Macaca mulatta: one gene and its partner. The protein of the gene in region 1 interacts with the protein of each later gene in a biochemical or structural test. Links are inferred from orthologs where the notes say so. Each region holds a gene or a part of one and is shown in the gene's direction. Other genes may lie near its edges. The genes, in order: FLT1 and PGF.

Region 1 (9,343 bases):
ATTCCTAAGTTTACAGGTAGCACCTTGATATAGTGAAACATGAAACGAATCCGTTAATTGCTTTCAGTTCTTCATAAACAGGATGTAATTAATTTCAAACCAAGGAACACCGGTAATACATTCCAATGTAGGCACAGCCCCTAGAAGAGAGGTACTAGTGGCTTCTGGACTAGAAATTTCTGCCATAGGATCACAAATCCAGATCAGCTCCTTCGGCGAGCAATAGAAATAAATGACAACTGGATAGAGAGAGGGACGTCGGGTGTACTTTTTAAAAGGCGATAGGAAAGGTTTCAAGCTTCTTTATGGCTGTTTGGTATTTCCTTTATAATCTGTTGGGGGAAGGTAATTTGATTTTTGTTTTTCCTTTTTCAACTGGGAATAAGGAATAGTGGTAGTTGGGAATCGACTACCACTGAAATTGGACTGGCAACCTGGCATCAGGGGAATTTGGCTGGGCCACTTGATGGAGCAGTGACCCTTTACAAATAAAGTTCAATCCCACGGCAGAGTGTTTATCTGGTAGTCTTTAAACGTTACGTTCTTGATATCAGAAGAAGGCATAAGGAGAAAGTCAAATCATGGATTATTTTCTTCTGTCTGGACTCACTGTGCTTGGGAATACTTCTAAGCATTTGAGAGCACTTCATTCATGGCAGTCTCTGGCCTCCAAGGCTGCCTTCACCATCAGCAGCTCCAGCTTCTGGGAGTTTCCCTTCCAGAGGCAGAGCTGACACCTTCCTTGTGACACAGCAGGATCCTCAGAATGACAATCCCAGTGAGTGCCAAGTTAATGTTATGAATCTTGGAGGACCTGGAATTATTTACAGTCTTTTGAAGACAGCCACTTCTTCAGTAAACCATGCAAAATGGGAGGAAAAGCTATGACTTGTTAAAAGCTCTGGACGATGAAAACAAATGAGAATAATCTGGCAGCCCCAGTAGAAAAAAATGCAATTGGCTTCTCTCTCTTTTTTGAGATGGAGTCTCGTTCTATCGCCCAGGCTGGAGTGCAGTGGTGTGATCTCAGCTCACTGCAACCTCCGCCTCCCGGGTTCAAGCGATTCTCCTGCCTCAGCCTCCCGAGTGGCTGGGATTACAGGCACCTGCCACCATGCCCAGCTAATTTTTGTATTTCTAGTAGAGACAGGGTTTCACCACGTTGGCCAGGCTGGTCTCTGCTGACCTCAGGTGATCCACCCACCTCGGCCTCCCAAAGTACTGGAATTACAGGTGTGAGCCACCACGCCCGGCCTGTTAATTGGTTTGTCTGCTGAGTGTCCGACCAGTTTATTATGAAGATTCCTGGAGGCCAAAGAGTTATGGGCTCCCCCTGAAAGTCTGATATGACAACTAGGTCTATCCTGGGTAGGTGCCATTTGTTGCCAAGGCTGATAGTAAATTATCATAATTACTATAATTAATCATAATGCAAGTGTCTTTTGCTATATACAAAAAAACTCAAGAACCAATGATAACAAACTAGAGTTTTTAACCTAGTTTGTTATAAGCAAACTACAGAGTTTTACTATTTTCATTTTAGATGAAAAATCATGTTTTCACCAACTGCTGGTGAAACAGTATTGCCAACCAGTGCTAATAGGACCTTGTTAATGCGTGCCTCTTCCTTTTCAGTTTCCACTTGACACTTTGATCCCTGATGGAAAACGTGTAATCTGGGACAGTAGAAAGGGCTTCATCATATCAAATGCAACGTACAAAGAAATAGGGCTTCTGACCTGTGAAGCCACAGTCAATGGACATTTGTATAAGACAAACTATCTCACACATCGACAAAGTAAGTGATGCTTCAGAGGCATGAACATAAGCCGAAGTGCTCTTTATTTTTATCTGCGTAATGAAATCTTAATTTAAAAAAATTTCTCTTTTATGCTTGCAGCCAATACAATCATAGATGTCCAAATAAGCACACCACGCCCAGTCAAATTACTTAGAGGCCATACTCTTATCCTCAATTGTACTGCTACCACTCCCTTGAACACGAGAGTTCAAATGACCTGGAGTTACCCTGATGAAGTGAGTGACCCATTTTTCTATTTCTTCTGCAGGACAGTATTTTTAGCAAGTGAAATCCCGCAGGGTTTTTGAGATGGGAAAAATCAGAAAATCCTGATTCCTGTGGCAGTGTTAGTCAATAAAGCAGCTTTGGGTTTGGTTCGAGTGCTTTCTTTGCCTGGCATTTCATGAGTGTGATATGCAGAGATACCGTCTTTTGATGTCTGGGAGTTTTGTTTTGAAGAGCATAGACTGGTATTTCTATTGCATGATTCTAGGTGGAAAGAAAGGGATTGTTTCATTCCTGGAAACTATTCTGTAGGATTTAGAGATGAGAGAGAAATGTATCACTAAATGCCAGGCAGGGACTGCCTTTTGTAACAACAACAACAACTTTCCAGGAGGCTGTCTCTGTCAGCGCATTCATTTAGGATACTGGCAGACAGTCAGGCACCTGATTGGAACATGTTTGGAAAAGATATTACAACCCAGTCATCCAATATTCCATTTGTTAAGTGTCAGGGGAGCAATTCTGTCCTTCAGAAAAATGAGAAGAATGAAGCCTGAGTTGGGTTCCCTTATTCAAATCGAACATCCTTGCAAACAATAATTGTTTTAGAAATGTATACATGGGGAAACTATGATAAACTGTTACGGAAATTTTGACAGTAGTTCTGGCCCCCATTTCTTGTGTATCAGCATGATTTATGCGGCATATCTCAAGTACAATCATTTGTTATGTCGTTCAGATTGCCCAATTACAAAGTCAATTTATGATTAAATTATGTATGAAAGATTAATGCATGAGCCCCAAGCTAGTGTTGTTTTTCATCGACATTTCTTGCCATGGAAATGGAATAACTTAGCAACAAAAACGTGTAACGAGTGCCCTGTAGGGGCACATTAAGGCCTTATCTGTCATCAGCTGTTTTCTAGGAGTGGTATTGTTTCATTTAAATAAAAATGCTATGGCTTGTAGCAATATTTTCTGGGTTTTAATAGAAATCAAATATTCTCAATAAGTGCCAAGAGGGAAGAAACTTCTATCCTGCTAGCATTGCTACTGTAAGTAAGAGTATCTATAATACATCTATTAAATGCTAATAATCTTCTAAAACAGCACTGTCCAACAGAACTTTCTGTGATGGAAATATCCTGTACTTGTGCCACTAGCCACATATGGCAGATGAAATGTGACTAGTGTGACTGAGGAAATGAATTTTTGATTTCATTTAATTTTAATAGCCACACGTGGCTGGTGGCTGGTGGCTGCAGTACTGGGCGAAGCAACTCTAAAACACAGGATGAGTTATTTCCCAAGTCAGAAGCAATACCAGTGTTACTCAACTTGGCAAAGGGAGTAGTACCTGTATAAATAGAGCTGCAGAAACCTCCCTCAGTCTGTTATGTTAAGGGACTAGTTCTCTGACTTTTGATAGTGGCAATTGACTTTTCTCTCTGGTTATTGCTGAGAATGAAGAAAATGGCCTCAAAATGTGTCTGTCTGTTCCAACAGGGAAGTAAATGGACAGGTGGGTAGGAGTGTATTAAACGTGGCACAGAGCAGAACTAAGCTCCCGATCCAAAGATCAGTTCTGGACAGCTCCCAAAGACATTTTTCCATGCTCCTCCCCTCTGCCCCTATGACTATGCGGAAGGACTGAGAGGTGGAAATAACTTATTAGTTATAAAATACAGCACTTAAAAAAAAAAAAGGAGAAGGCAATGTGATCTTGTCTTCTCAAAACAGTGAGGAGGACTGTCATTGTGGCCAGGTCAGATTGTGGAGCCTAAGACTGATTCTTGTTCTTATCTGAGACAAACCTGGGACAGCACCTTTCAAGTCTTGGTTAAACCTGCTGATGGCTTTGCATGTCCCCAGATCCGTTTACTATGATTTAGCCAACATGGGCAAGCATTGCTCAAATAGTGAAATAATGAAATTATAGGATTATTCCACCTTAGTAAGTAGAGACAAGACTCATTATCTTTTCCTTCATATCTAATAGAGACAAAAAAGGAAACTCAGACAGTGATTTGGTGAGAGAAGCACTGTCATTAAGCCAGACACTAAGGCTTATGATTGTCATGTTTGTGTGTGATATGTATGCCTACAGAACAGGTTACTGTGTAGAGAGGTGTGTGTGCCAGAGGAAGGACACTAGATTTATGCTCAAAAGACCTGAGTTCCTGGCCAACTTGGGCCAGGGGGTCCCTTCCTTCAGTTTTTTCATCAGTAAAAGGGCAGTCAGCCTGCCAATCTCACTAGGTTGTTGAGACAAACAATTGAGATGGTATATGTGAAAATGCATTTGAAGAAAATTAAGTGCTAAATAAATCCTACTAGGCTACATATTTGAAGCATCTCTAGACACAGATACAGTTTCCAAACATTGTGCTCTAGGTGGATGTGACGTGATTCTTAGCATAAAACAGAAGCTATTGTCGAAGTTATGATCTAAGAAATGTTAAAATCCTATATAACTTTAAGCATGAACACTCACTCCTTCTACATTTGTTATACGTTTTCTTTCTAGAAAAATAAGAGAGCTTCTGTAAGGCGACGAATTGACCAAAGCAATTCCCATGCCAACATATTCTACAGTGTTCTTACTATTGACAAAGTGCAGAACAAAGACAAAGGACTTTATACTTGTCGTGTAAGGAGTGGACCATCATTCAAATACGTTAACACCTCAGTGCATATATATGGTAAGCATAGTTCAGCGTTGCCAACTCATGCTATGCTTTCTAATCATTGTAGATGTCTGTGTTCTCTAAATAAGTCAGTTTTCTGTTGGCCAAGAGTTACATTATCATGAATGAATACGACTTGGCCATAGTTCCCTCCTCCCCCTGTCAAAAAGCAAACCACATTAAGTACTCTTTAAATTTAATACTTTTGAATTGAACAGAGAGTCCTTTCTTTAGATGTTTATTATAGCTAATAATTCAGTTAGAACCTAATATATTTATGAAATTTTTAGTGTCCTATATAAACAAAACAGAAAAAGATGATGAATTTTATCTTTACTACTTCAGAAAAATTTCTCAGGTACTACCATGAATTAGAGAAATAAAAATATAGTATGCTAAATCATTTAGAATTAAAGCTATTTTATCCCTGCTTTTACTCTCATGGAATCCTAATGTTGTTGCTTAATTTCAGTATGCAAATTCTATAAAGAAAATGCTTAAAAGCCTTATTTCCATTGCTGAAAAGGAAACAGTGTGGAGGACAGAAACTGTGGAACAATTCTATCAGTAGCCTTTTATTTCCTTTTGTCTTTCTCCAGTTGATTTTTGATATCAAATTAGTTGATTTAGGGTGCCCAGAGCAACATTTTCTCACAGCGGCCACGCAGATTTTTAGAAATATCTTCCCACTTCCTTGTTATTGTGATAGAGATATTTAAGGTGTTTTACTTTCTGTTGCTCTGCCACTGTTTTATGTTGCTAGGACGTGATACCATTTGATTTGAAAGGCGTGCACCAGTTACGGTGCTTTTAAAGTATCCTATTCTTGATCAATATTTAGGCTCATTGATAGGCTCTATCATAATTCAGCTCTGTTTATTTACTCATTGATTACACCCTCCCTTCATGAGGCCCTAAGGTTTTGCTTATGGAAATATATTCTTTTCTAATGTATTTATCACTTCTCCTTTCAAAGATAAAGCCTTCATCACTGTGAAACATCGAAAACAGCAGGTGCTCGAAACTGTAGCTGGCAAGCGGTCTTACCGGCTGTCTATGAAAGTGAAGGCGTTTCCCTCGCCGGAAGTTGTATGGTAGGACCATACTTATTTCCATAACAGTGTAAGACGTGCTTTGTAAGTGGGAAGCTGCAAGAGCCTAATGACTCCAATTCCTGACAAAATACCAAGAGACGTTCCTCAGACAGCCCCAGAGAGCTCAGAACTCTGTAGATTCTTGGGTGGTGGAGGTGAGAAGGGCTGGGGGAAAGGAAATAATGTAGCAAGGTAAGCAAGAGATGAGGTTTGTTCGAGTGCTCACTTCAGTCTAGTCAGTCTCTTACTGTGGTTAACCTTCTGCATCTCTAAACCTTCCTATGATGTCAGCATTCTTTGAATGGGATGTGCTGAACAATGACTAGGAAGCATTTTGAATATGTAACATGCTCTATTAACCCTGAAGAAGTGGACTCCTGTAATGAGAATGATGAAAATAATTCTTTTATGTACAGCTGGGTTGAAAGTTCCAGTCTTGTTTTAAAATTAAACAAACATTAATAGAGACAAGACTTACTCATTTGAAGATGAGGACGAATGGGCCTTCTTGAACTAATTAAGGTTTTTTTGGCTAGAAGGATATATATTCAAAACCTCCTTCAGCAGTTTTTTAAAACACTAGTACAACACCTGATGTAAAACAATGTAATCTGTTTATGATCTGCAATCATTTTACAAAATTACTGTTAAATGCCAATACCTTTGGCTCAAATCATTACCTTTTAAACAAAGGGTATGGTGCAAAACTGATTAGCAAAACAATCCATACAATAGGGGTGTGGTGCCATTTTAGAATCCCCCTAACCAGAGCTGATTTGGCTTTCAATGTCGTATGAGGGTAGTGTGTTTGTTTGCAGTTCCCTTAAATACTTAATAGGGAATTAAAGAGAAAATTTTAACTTTGTGCTATGTCGTCATGCCATTGCAGTAGAAAAATGATCTTTTTTGCTTCAGAATATCAAAAACATTTAGTAGTAAATTTTTAGGTTTAATAGTAAATTGAATAGTAATTTAATGACTCCAGGAGGTACATTCACTCCGCCGGGGTCTGAGAGCATGCTCATCTGTTAGTGTTGATTTCTTCAGTAACTAAGTCACAAGGGCATTAAAAAAATTCAGTCCACCGTCAAAAATGCTGACTTGTTGATAGGAAATAATTTAAAGTAATACCAAGACAATATTTGTAATCACAAAGTATAGCATCCTCATTTTAATTACTTTGGATCTGAGACACACTAGTAATGGGAATTTGTTTGTAGGACTTTATAATCATGCATGATAATGAACTAAGTTCCCAATATTAAACCTTTATACAGAACATAAGAAACTCCTAATGGATTAAAACTGCCTATTTAAAGAACTGTGCATTTTAATGAAATCATAGAATTTTAGAGTTATAAGGAACCTTTGAGAAACTCTAGAAAATTTGAGAAAATTGGAGCCCAAGCTGGTTAGTCATATGTGCAGCAGCCTGCAGTGAGTAGAAGAGCCAGGTCAAGCATCCAGGCTCTGACTGTCAGTTCCGTGTGCAATAGAATGATATCAATGCATCGATTCAGTATTTAATATGTTTTTATATTAAAATTTTATGTTAAAATTTTTTTAAGTTTATGCTTTCTGTTTGTTTTGCACCTTAACTGTTCTTCCTCAGAGGAGAAATCTTGATAATCTTGATTTCACTCTAGTTTATGAAAGGGACAACTGGTGTGACCATTTATAAAACTAATAAGAACTCCACCTGAGACCACAATAGGAAAGTCTATTTGTATTTTTATCTGGAGAAGTGATCTAGTTGATCTGACTTACAATGGCCCTTATACTGCTGATGGAGCCTCGTGGAAAACTCTGAAAAACATCTCGGATGGAATCAGAGCCCCTGCCTCTGGGTTAATCCTTAAGTCCCAGTGGCCACCGGTATCCCTGTGGGCACACTAAGCTACTGTTTTTCTATCTTCACTTGCTTTATTTCTTCCTCCTTGCCAGTAAACATGAAGTGTTACCCAGTCTAAAAAGCATATCTGCCTTTACTGAAAAGTTAATGGCTACATTTTAAAAATCAACACTGATGATCAAAGATTTGAAACTGGTCAACTTGAGGCCGGGTGTAGTGGCTCACGCCTGTAATCCCAGCACTTTGGGAGGCTGAGGCGGGTGGATCACAAGGTCAAGAGTTCAAGACCAGCCTGGCCAACATGGTGAAACCCCATCTCTACTAAAAATACAAAAATTAGCTGGGCGTGGTGGCAGATGCCTGCAATCCTAGCTACTCAGGAGGCTGAGGCAGAGAATCGCTTGAACCCTGGAGGCAGAGGCTGCAGTGAGCCGCAATTGCGCCACTGCACTCCAGCCTAGGCGACAGAGTGAGACTCTGTCTCAAAAAAAAAGAAAGAAAGAAAGAAAGAAAGAACTGGTCAAATTGAGCTCAAAAACTTAAATGACAGTGTTACCAAAGTGATATTGCGAGGCCATGTGAAATGACTTACTGATTATGCTTTTAACCACAGGTTAAAAGATGGGTTACCTGCGACCGAGAAATCTGCTCGCTATTTGACTCGGGGCTATTCGTTAATTATCAAGGATGTAACTGAAGAGGATGCAGGGAATTATACAATCTTGCTGAGCATAAAACAGTCAAATGTGTTCAAAAACCTCACTGCCACTCTAATTGTCAATGGTAAGTTTGCTGCTCAGGCTTTCTTCTGGTTCTGGTAGGAAACAAATTAGTGAACACTTATGAATTCAAAAATCAGCATAACAACATCAAAGATAACAAAATTTCAAATAATCATTTGAAAAAACACTTAACGTTAAGTTCCCATCTTCAACAATCTCGTGTTTGTTTGTTGTATTCCATAGGCAGCATGATCTTTTATCATTGTAATCACAATGTACATACCATGGAATCAAATTATTAATATTCTCAAAACACTGCTACTATTTTTAAAAATCTGCATTTTCTTGACAAATAGGACAGTTTACTTCTTTTTTGTTTCTTGTTTGTTTCCCTGACATCCAAACCAGTGAGAATGTGGTCCTTCATGTGTGGCCCAGGAGAAAGTCATTAGAACAGCTCTTGACTTCTGTCCCGTTCTTCATCTCCTTTCCAGTGAAACCCCAGATTTATGAAAAGGCCGTGTCATCATTTCCAGACCCAGCTCTCTACCCACTGGGCAGCAGACAAATCCTGACTTGTACCGCATACGGTATCCCTCGACCTACAATCAAGTGGTGCTGGCGCCCCTGTAACCATAATCATTCTGAAGCAAGGTAGGGACAGTCAGTTTTTTGACTAACTTTCAAATACTTTTTGACACCTGGAATTAAGATTTTTTTAATGGACACAGATGAGAATCTGCAGATGGGGTGTACTGTATATTTAAGGCAAGGCTCTCCCTGCCTTGGAAAAAGGTGGGCAACAGCTACTCTTCTTTCTTACTGAATATACCTTGCCGTTGGCTAACAATTTCATAATTTTTCTCTCTGGTTTACAGTTTTAGAAGCACAAGCACAAAACTAAGGTCCTCCCATGAACTGTTATATGAGCTCAGGTTGGAACTCTGGTATCCTGTTTCTCA
Region 2 (9,343 bases), on another chromosome or scaffold:
TCCGGGACGGCCCTTCCTGCAGAGGCCGCTAGGACATAAGCCTTGACGGCTGACGCTGGGCTCCACACCTGGATGGTCCCATCCCAGGTGACGGCCCCGAGAGCCGAAGCGGGGCTGTGGGCTCTGCGGGCGGGCGCGGCGTGGCCCGGGGAGCTGCGGGCTGGGCTCGTCGAGGCGTGCGCATTTGCCGAGCGCCCCTCGCAAGCACTGCGGGCTCCGGCGCTGCGGGCTGGCCGGGCGCTGCGGGAACTCGGCTCGGGAACCTCTTCTGCTGTGGGCGGGGCAGGCCCGGAGCCCCGCCCCAGCTCAGCCCCTGAAACCCAGGCGCGGGCCGGCTGCAGTCCCAGAAGGGAGCTGCTGTCTGCGGAAGAAACTGCATCTTCGGACGGCCGCCCAGCTGCGGGAGGACCTGGGGTGGCACTGGGCGCCCGACGGACCCTCCCTGGGACCCGCCTGCCCCTCGGCGCCCCGCCCCGCCGGACCGCTCCCGGTCGGGCTCCCCAGCCATAGCCTTACCTGCGGGCTCCTGACTCCCCACGGCTTCCAGAAGATGCTCGAACCACCGGCCGGGGCCTCGGGGCAGCAGTGAGGGGGGCGTCCAGCCGCCCACTCAGCTCTTCTGCTCCTGTGCCAGGGGCTCCCCGGGGGATGAGCATGGTGGTTTTCCTTCGGAGCCCCCTGGCTCGGGACGTCTGAGAAGATGCCGGCCATGAGGCTGTTCCCTTGCTTCCTGCAGCTCCTGGCTGGGCTGGCGCTGCCTGCTGTGCCCCCCCAGGTAAGAGCTACCCCCACCTAGCCCGGCTCCCCTGACCTCCCTATCCCAGCACTGGAAGCAGGGGACTCTGAAATCACAGACTCGCTCCAGGGAGCAGCAAATCCAAGGATGTCCACATACTTCCTAAAGGCCAGGCTGGACTTCTTTCGTTTGGGAAGAGACCTCAGGCTGGCTGTCCCCCAGGTCCTGGGGGCTGTCTTAGTGGGGGCAGGGAAGCCACAGGGAGGGAGGGAGGGAGGTTTCCTGTCTGGCCTCTGGAGCCCTGGTGGCTTTGCTAAAAGCATCTGTCCACTAATCCCAGGCGGGTCCCTGGCCTTGTGGTCAGGGTCGAGGCCCCATGGCCAACCAGGCGTCCCCAGGACCTCTGACCTGGCCTGGTGGGGGTGGTGGAGGAGCCAGCTGAAGAGGATGATGGTGGGAAGGCTGGGCCCTGCCCCCACCAGGGCTCAGGACTGAGCCGTGGGCTCCTGGGTGGGCTGGGGATGAGACAAGGGGTCTCGCTGTGCCTTTTCTCCTGGGTGGGTGGCCGGAGGTCCTGAGTGCAGGGCCTGGGGAAGTGAGCAGGGCCCTTTTCCCAGGAGCCGGGTGAGTCTGGCTGGGAGCCAGCTTGGGCAGTGAAATCCTGACAAAGCCAATGAGCTCCCTTCCCACTGTGTTGTCCCACTGCCCTGGGAGTCCCCAGCCCCAGCCCAAGAGTAGGAGTGGGCTGGGCAGTCCCTGAGGAGCCCGAGCAGCCCAGCCACCCGCCTGCCTGCTGCAGGGCTGGCCAGAGGTGTAACGTTACCGGCTGCACCAGCTCATGGCGCCACCCGCTCCAACCCCTCCGCTCCCACCAGCTGATCACCTCCCCCTGGGCTCTGGCACCCAGCCAAGGCGGGCTGTACAGGGCCCGGCAGGGTTGAACTGGGGGGGCTGGGTAGAAGGGAGACCCACAGGATTGGAAGATCTTTGGGACGCAGCAGGCCAAGGGTCTCCAAGAGCTTCTAGCCTCCCATCCTTTTCCAAATGAGGAAAACTGAGGCCAGAGAGGGGTGGGACCTAACCTATCTAGGGTCCGGTGAGTTTTTAGTTGTGCTCAGGCTGCTCTGAGACAGGGCAGAGCCTGTGCAGCAAGTGGGAAGGAATCCAGAGGGGCCCCTACCTTCCTGCCATCACACTTGGCCCAAGAGTGCAGAGCCCCAAGGTGTCCCAGGCTCATCTCTGTACCTTTCTGTCCACAGCAGTGGGCCTTGTCTCCTGGGAACGGCTCGTCAGAGGTGGAAGGTAAGCTGGCCAGGCTGGGGGTTTGCATGATCCCCAAGCCCCTCTCTTCCTTTCTCCCAAGCCCAGGCGTGGCATAAAGTGTGGGTACAGGTTGATAAAAGTTGGGGAGAGCCTATGAGCTAGATATCCTAGCTGATGACTTTGGCAGGGCCTAAGAGATCCCCTCATGGTGACCCAGAGACTAGAGAGGTGTGGGCTGGGGTCATCAGCACACAGAGAGTGGGACTGGGGCCAGTATAGCCAGGGTTCATTGAGCTGGCTCAGAGCCCTTCCCCAGCATGATTTAAGCGTATGGATGGGGTCTTGGAGGACAGAGTGGGGAGTGAGTGCCAGGGGCCAGAATGGGGGTCTGGGAGCTGGATGCAGTGTGCAGTCAAGAGGATCAGGAATGGGTGAGGGGCCCTCCCCAGCAGCCCAGCCCTAGTGGAACTGCCTGGATCTGACCATGCCTTTCCATTGATTATAAACAGACAGAACATGAATTGTGCCCTCCCTGGCCCCTCTACTCCCCACCCTGGTTGCCTCAAGAGGGAATCTTCAAAGGGCAACGAGACGTTTGCCAAAGAGACATACGTGCAGGATGCCAGGCCCCCTACCTCGCTCCTCCCTCCCTGCCTCTCCAAGACGTGCAGAGCGGCCACACGCCACCGCTGAGGCTTCCCCTGCGCCATGGGAGAGGGGGCATGTAGGAACATGCACACGCACACGCGTGATAGCCATCTGCATGCTGGGAACACCCTCTGCTGGCCTTGCCTGCCTGGCAGCCCGCCTCTCCCGGGCCTGGTCATACTCTGACACCTGAGGCTCAGGCCCTAGACCCCTGAGCAGGTAGAGGAGGCAGCTGCCCTTGACTTCATGGATGCCTCCCTTGCTGTGCCTCTGGAACCAGCACAACATTATGCTCCTTGGGATTTGGGGAAGGACCCATCCCCTACCTCCACACTATCCCCTTTTTGGTGCTTTTAGTGTAGGTCAGGCCACAGCTACCAAAGATGCCTTAGCCTCAGTTTCCTCATCTGTAAAATGGGAGCCTTAGGCTATGTGATGTCTATGGTTTCTTCTTTTTCCGAGATTGAAAAAGGGACCTGTTCTCTAACTCCAGGGAGGAGAAATGGGTGTACATATCACCCAGGATTCGAGGTGAGGAGGCCTGGAAGTGTAGGTTCGTTAGGTCAGCTCTCCTGTCACACTTATCAATCAGGGAGTGTGCAATCTGACCAGGAGAAGTACAATGAGCTTTGCACTCCAGCTCTCCAAATCTGAAAATGTCATCCCACCTATTAACACCAGAGCAAGAGGCAGCATGGCCAGCCATGGGCGTTGATTTTTACTATTACTATTCACAGGAACAGTGTTAGGCATTTTCTGTCATTCTGTTTTGACCACAGGCTGTGAAGTAGGAAGGCGATGTACTCCATTTTTACAGATGCAGGACCTGAGGCTCAGAGAGGCCCTGGGGGTCGCCCCAAGCCTCAGGCACTCCTCATGGATCTGGCAGAACCGAGTGCTCCCAATAGCTCCGTGGCTGATCAGGCATGAGCAGGGTGTCCCTTGTGGCAGGCTGTCTGTGTGCTCTGCCAGTGACCATGGAGAGGACACCTGTGGGCTTGGGCTGGTGGCCAGTGGCTCTGCCCAGCCCTGTGGCTCGTCCCCAGTGCCCTCCACAGAAACTTGCTCTCAGGATTAAGCATTTCTCTTCTGGAGTCTCCCCCATCCCAGGTGGTGGCAGGCAGGTGGGAGGCTCACTCTCAGGGCTGGCGAGAGAGCTGAGGGCCCACTCATGGCCTCAGGAGCAGCCCTGGGGACCACCCAGCTCTGGCAGTGCCTGAGGGGGCCACAGCTTCCCGTTGCTCTCACCCCCACCCCCTCCCGGAGCAGGTCTGGGGCCAGCGGAAGTGCTCTCAGGGACAGCTGAGCAGAGCTCTTTCCTGAGGGACATGGCCCACATCTGGGAGTGGTCACTGCACACTCCCTCAGCCTGGCCCCTCACCCAGCCCCTTTTGTTTCTCCCACACGCCCATACGGGGGCCTTCAGGGATGAATTGCCCTCTTTCCTGGTGGCTGCCAGGTAAACCAGGCTCCAGCCCACCTCCTTCTCAGCCCTCCCGCAACATGGTTCGGCCACGGGGCCAGGAAATTGGCAGATTCCAGGGTTTCAGGGACCCGGAGTCTGCATGGTGGGATGTGGGGTGAGGAAAGGAAATCCCTTCTGCCGCTGCCCAGGCCCAGCCAGTTCTGCCAAAGGTGGCCATGGCCCCGCAGCCCAGCTGGGTAGGCGTCTGTTTGCAGGATGGGAGGGGGCTGGGGTGCCCCTTCTCTGCTGCTGTCCCCTCGCTGATGACTGGTTCCAAGGCAGGAACCTGAATCTTCCGTGTTGTTTTGGCAGTTCGTTATTCCTCTGCTGTTATTTATGTTTTCCATAAAGGTGGAGATTAAACGTTCAGAGTCACGTAGTGCTCATGAAGATTTTAAACTAAACACACAGCTCAAGGAGCTGGTGATAGGGAGGTGCTCTCTGACCCTGGACTGCAAAGGCAGGCTTCCCTGCACTGTGGGCACCTTTGGGGAGAGAGGCCTTGTTTCCCACTGGGTTCCGGGGCAGTACCAGGGGCATGGAGTGGTAGAGTCAGGGGAGGCCTATGGATTCCCCCCACCGCCAGCCCCTAGCCCAGCCCTAGTGCCCTCTAAGCAGAGCAGGGTAGAGTGGAGCAGCAAACAAGCAGATAACACTGTTTATTGCCTCTATGACTGCCTAGCCAGCTCCACATGGACACACCGCCTCTGGGTATTTTCCACCAGTTTGCAGCCTTTCCCGAGGGCCTCTGCTAGGACTGAAGTTTATTTTTCTTCTGAGATTACCAGGAGGCGCATGTCCTCATAGGCTCAGTGGAATGGACTTTGGCCCCTTCTGCCTCCTAGGCAGAGGCCTGGAAGAAATGAGGGGTTGCTGGGAGAGGCCATTATTCCATGGCAGAGGCTGCAGGGCCCCGGTGAGCCAGCTCCTGATTCTTTCCAACTAGCTGATGATGACCATCAGATGCAGAGCAGGATGACCCAGACCCGGGGGCATTTCTCTGTCCATGGTCTCCGGGCTGGGCTGGGTTGCAGGCACTGATTCACAGGTGGTTGGTCAGAAAGGGAAAGACCTTAGCAACCATTTATTCCCAACCTTCTTTTTTCCCACCTGAGGAAACTGATCTACCCAGAAAGGTTAACTGATCTCCCCAAGGTCACACAGCCAGTGTGGGGCTGGGACTGGAAGCCAGGTGTCTGACTCTGGCCACTCTCTGTGAGCCTCTATTTGGGGCCTGGTTCCAGGCCTTCACCCAAAAGAGCGGCATCTTTTGAGGGATTCCAGATCAGCCCTCAAAAGATCCCATCACGATCACCAGGACATCATGGGGGTCAGGGATGTCCCGGACGATCCTCGGTGAACTATCATCTAATCAACCAGGAATGACTTAGCCTGTGTTTACGGGTACATCCATCTCTGCCCTCATAGAGCCTCGGGTTGGTTGTAAAGGAGATAAGAGCCACCAGTGACAGAGATAAGACAACCCCTTGGGGCCAGGCCGTGCTCAAGGGAGGCTCATCTGTGCACACCAGAATTGCTGGGGAAGGCTTCAAAGAGGAGGTGGGGAGGCAGGCCTTGGAAAATGGCGAGTGGGCTTTATTTATTTGGATAGAAATGAGAGGAGGGGGAAGAAGAGCAGCTGTAGGGGCTGCAGAGTGCACAAGCCCAGAGCTGCGAGTGAATGCGGTGCTGCCGTGACTCACTGTGAGTGCTGGTTGGACTCAATGGAGAGGAGGGTCGGGCCACATTGCTGGATGTGGTCTTGGTTGCCAGGCAGAGGAGCTGGCACAGAGTGGAGCAGGAAATGAGGGAGCCGTGGAAGGTGTTTGAGCAGAGGAGTAAGGGAAGGCCAACCCTCCCTGCGTGACTCCAGAAATGACTGTTTTCTGCAAGTTCTCCGAGGTGGAGGAAGCACCGGTCGGGCTTGAGAAAGATCCAGAGGGCCTGGGCAGCTGCGGAGGCTACAATCCGCAAAGCTCCAGGGAGCCAAGGCAGATGTGGGTGCCTGAGTTGAGGACAGAGCAAAGCTTGGGGCCCTGAGAGATTCTGTTCCACGGGGATTTCCATCCAGCAGATGAGCTAAGGGGCCCACAGGCATTTCGGAGGGATCACATTAGGAATTGAGAGTTGAGGGAGCTCGGAAGGGGCTGGGGGCTGAACCTGGAAGACCAGCGGGGCCTTGGGAGCCAGGTTTAGGGCTTCGAGGGGCAGGTCTCTGCTGGCCTGACCCAGCCCCCTTGCCTCCTCGCAGTGGTGCCCTTCCAGGAAGTGTGGGGCCGCAGCTACTGCCGGGCGCTGGAGAGGCTGGTGGACATCGTGTCCGAGTACCCCAGCGAGGTGGAGCACATGTTCAGCCCATCGTGTGTCTCCCTGCTGCGCTGCACCGGCTGCTGTGGCGATGAGAACCTGCACTGTGTGCCGGTGGAGACGGTCAATGTCACCATGCAGGTAGGTCCACACCCGGCCCAGGGGGCCACCGAATCTGCCCACTAGAAGGGACCTGGAGAGGGAAGAAGATAGGCCCAGGTCCCAGGACTGCAGCCTGATTCCCAGGCCGGTGCTTCTACTACCCCAGCCCAGGGCCCTTCCTTCCTGAGCCCCCCGATGGCTCTGAGCCCACTCACCTCCACCCCCACCAGTTTTCTCAGCCTCATGCTGAGCCCTATCCCAAGACTCAGGGTGTCTAGTTAAAGCTGGAAAGAAATCTGCTTGTATTAAAGTCCCTGTTGACACCAGGAGCATTTGGTGCCTTTTCAAGCAAGTGCAGCTTACGTGTCACACACGCAGTGGTTTATTGAGCACTTAGTAATGCCAAGCACTGTCCTAGGCGTGCCACAAGTGGTACATCATTCAGTCCTTCAAGGCTGGTGTCATTCCCATTTCACAGATGGGGAACTCGAGGTTCAGAGATGTTATTTCACTTGTTCAGCAGGTAAAAGAGTCAAGATCTGAACACGGGTCTCTGACTCCAGAACATGGCCCCCTTCATGCACTATTGCTGTGCTAGTGCCCCCTGGGTAAGGAGGGACAGCGGCCTCCCTCAGGTCCCCACGCAGCTGAGAGAGCCATTTGCCTCACGCTGAGAGTGGAGTGAGGGCCTGTAGTCCACAGGCTACAGGAAACAGAATCGGGTTCTCCTTACAAGGAGAGAGAGAAGAGTACGGGAAACTCATGGACCACTCCCCAATCCAGGCATCAACTCTTTCTTCCTTCAGCTCCTAAAGATCCGCTCTGGGGACCGGCCCTCCTACGTGGAGCTGACGTTCTCTCAGCACGTGCGTTGCGAGTGCCGGTAGGTCTCCGGGGTGGGGCGGGTAGCAGGGAAAGGCCCCCGTGCTCTTGGCACCCTCAGCAAAGATGGGTCCCAGGGCAGAGGCAAAGGCTGCCCCATCCCCGCCGCCGGCTGTACCTTTTTCCAGGCTGAGGGAGACCAAGAGGGCAGGACCAGGCAGGGGTGGCTGCCATTCATTTTGTCCCCCGACCAGCCAGTTTTGCCGAGGGAGCTGGTCCCAGCAGCTGGGGTACAGCTGTTGACATACTGCAAGGGAAGAGAGAGCGTGGGTCCCTCCCAGCCTCGCTGGGGTTTGGTGCGTGTCGTTCCCCTTCTCTGGGACGGGAGGCAGCTGCCACGGGCCTCTGAAAGAGGTCCCTGGAGGCGAAGACATTGCAAGTCTGAACTTAGTTCTGGGCCAAGCTGCATGCCCACAGGAGGGGGCAAACCGGGCTGAGAAGCAGCAAGAAGGACAAGCTCGGGTAGGAGAAAGGGGACAGAAGAAGGGTGACACTGTGGCTTCCCTGATGATACAGCACCCCGCTACGGCCCCTCCCAATCCGCAGAGCCTCTGACCAGCACCAGTCTTGCTGCCTGTGCCGGGGGCACTTGGAACATTGGTTAGCAGGAGCAACAGGCCTGGCACTGCCAACGAGGTTCAGGGAAGAGAAAAATGGGCTGAGCTGTTGCTCCTGGTACCACTGGGCCATGGATGAAGGCACCAGACTAGAAGTCCAGAGCCCTAGCCAGGGGCAGGAGGAGGGAAGACTACCACTTGTTGTGTACCCATTTTGTGCCTAGCCCTGCAGGAGGCACTTGATTGTTTCTCATTTAGTCACATACATTTATTGAGCACCTACTGCATGCCGGGCATTGTCCTAGATGGGATGCAGTGGTGGGCAAGGTCCCTGCTCTCATAACAACCCTGGGAGGTAGATCCTATTGTCATCCCCGTTTTATAGATGAGAAAATCAAGGCTCAATACAGTTTCATGATTTATCACAGCTAGTGAGTGTGGGAGGAGGGATTCTGAGCCCTGACCTAAATCCTAAGCCTTCATGCTACCTCTCATGGCCGTGACCACTTTTCTAGTAGCCCCTAGGCTTAGCCTAGCCTCCTGGGCAGGGCTATCGCTGCCCCTTTTGTTGGAGTGTTGGAGGCCCTGCCTCAACTTGTTTCCACCCGTCCCTCCAAGCCAGAGCTTATCCATATAATAGCTCGGTAATGAACCCTCCTGGGTGCAATGCTAGCTGGTGACCCAGAGTCACCTTCTACATCCCCTTTACCCTGACAGCCCCTCTTTTGGGGCAGGCAGATGAAGAGACTGAGGTTCCAAGAGTGTCTCTCACTTGCCCAATATGGAGAGGTACAACCAGACAGTCCCAAGAGGCCCTGGTACCTTGCCGAGGCTCCCAAGGGAGGAATCAGCCGAGGGTAGCATGTCCTGGCCCCAAAGCTGACGGCTACCATGCTGGCCCATGTCTCCACCCACTGTTCCCAGGAAAGACTGAGGCCCTGTCCCCTGCCAGGAGCCAGGCAACAGGGACACCTTTCTTCTGGCTTCTGGGCCAACAGCCATAGCCCTGGGAGGCAGAGCCCAGACATGCCTGGTGACCTCAGGACTGATGCCCCCTCCCTTCCTCCCACCCCGCCGCTCACTCCCCATGTTGTTCCGGGTGGAGTGGGGGCTGTGCCCTGACAGGCAACCAGTCCACTGCCCGGCCATCGTGTCCTGTCCCTGAGGAAATTCCCAGAGTGCACCCTGGAAGGAAGGGAAAAAAGCAGACAAAGAAAGTGAGAAAGAAAAAGCAGCAGAGAACAGACAGAAACGACCCCACATTTGATGCCAAGAGGCTGAGAAGTGCAGAAGCGGGTGGCAGGGGTCCCCAGGAGGTTGATTTGTCCCTCTTGCTGTGAGGTCACCGGAGCCTGGAGTGGGAGCGAAGCCCCGGGCTCTGGC

The links.
Region 2: the proteins of FLT1 (region 1) and PGF are reported together in a solved structure, tested with the Homo sapiens proteins (2 studies listed by BioGRID and IntAct, with this or other methods). The link is inferred for Macaca mulatta from reciprocal best matches to the Homo sapiens genes FLT1 and PGF.

What each region holds. Positions count from the first base shown.
Region 1 is NC_133422.1:8,415,095-8,424,437, reverse strand, and holds part of FLT1 (vascular endothelial growth factor receptor 1), read left to right. Parts: intron 1-1,635; coding exon 1,636-1,798; intron 1,799-1,900; coding exon 1,901-2,037; intron 2,038-4,553; coding exon 4,554-4,728; intron 4,729-5,689; coding exon 5,690-5,807; intron 5,808-8,272; coding exon 8,273-8,442; intron 8,443-8,875; coding exon 8,876-9,035; intron 9,036-9,343. UniProt on the Homo sapiens protein: Tyrosine-protein kinase that acts as a cell-surface receptor for VEGFA, VEGFB and PGF, and plays an essential role in the development of embryonic vasculature, the regulation of angiogenesis, cell survival, cell migration, macrophage function, chemotaxis, and cancer cell invasion.
Region 2 is NC_133412.1:148,144,631-148,153,973, reverse strand, and holds the start of PGF (placenta growth factor), read left to right. Parts: upstream 1-290; 5' UTR 291-700; coding exon 701-775; intron 776-1,995; coding exon 1,996-2,038; intron 2,039-6,363; coding exon 6,364-6,560; intron 6,561-7,327; coding exon 7,328-7,404; intron 7,405-9,343. UniProt on the Homo sapiens protein: Growth factor active in angiogenesis and endothelial cell growth, stimulating their proliferation and migration. It binds to the receptor FLT1/VEGFR-1. Isoform PlGF-2 binds NRP1/neuropilin-1 and NRP2/neuropilin-2 in a heparin-dependent manner.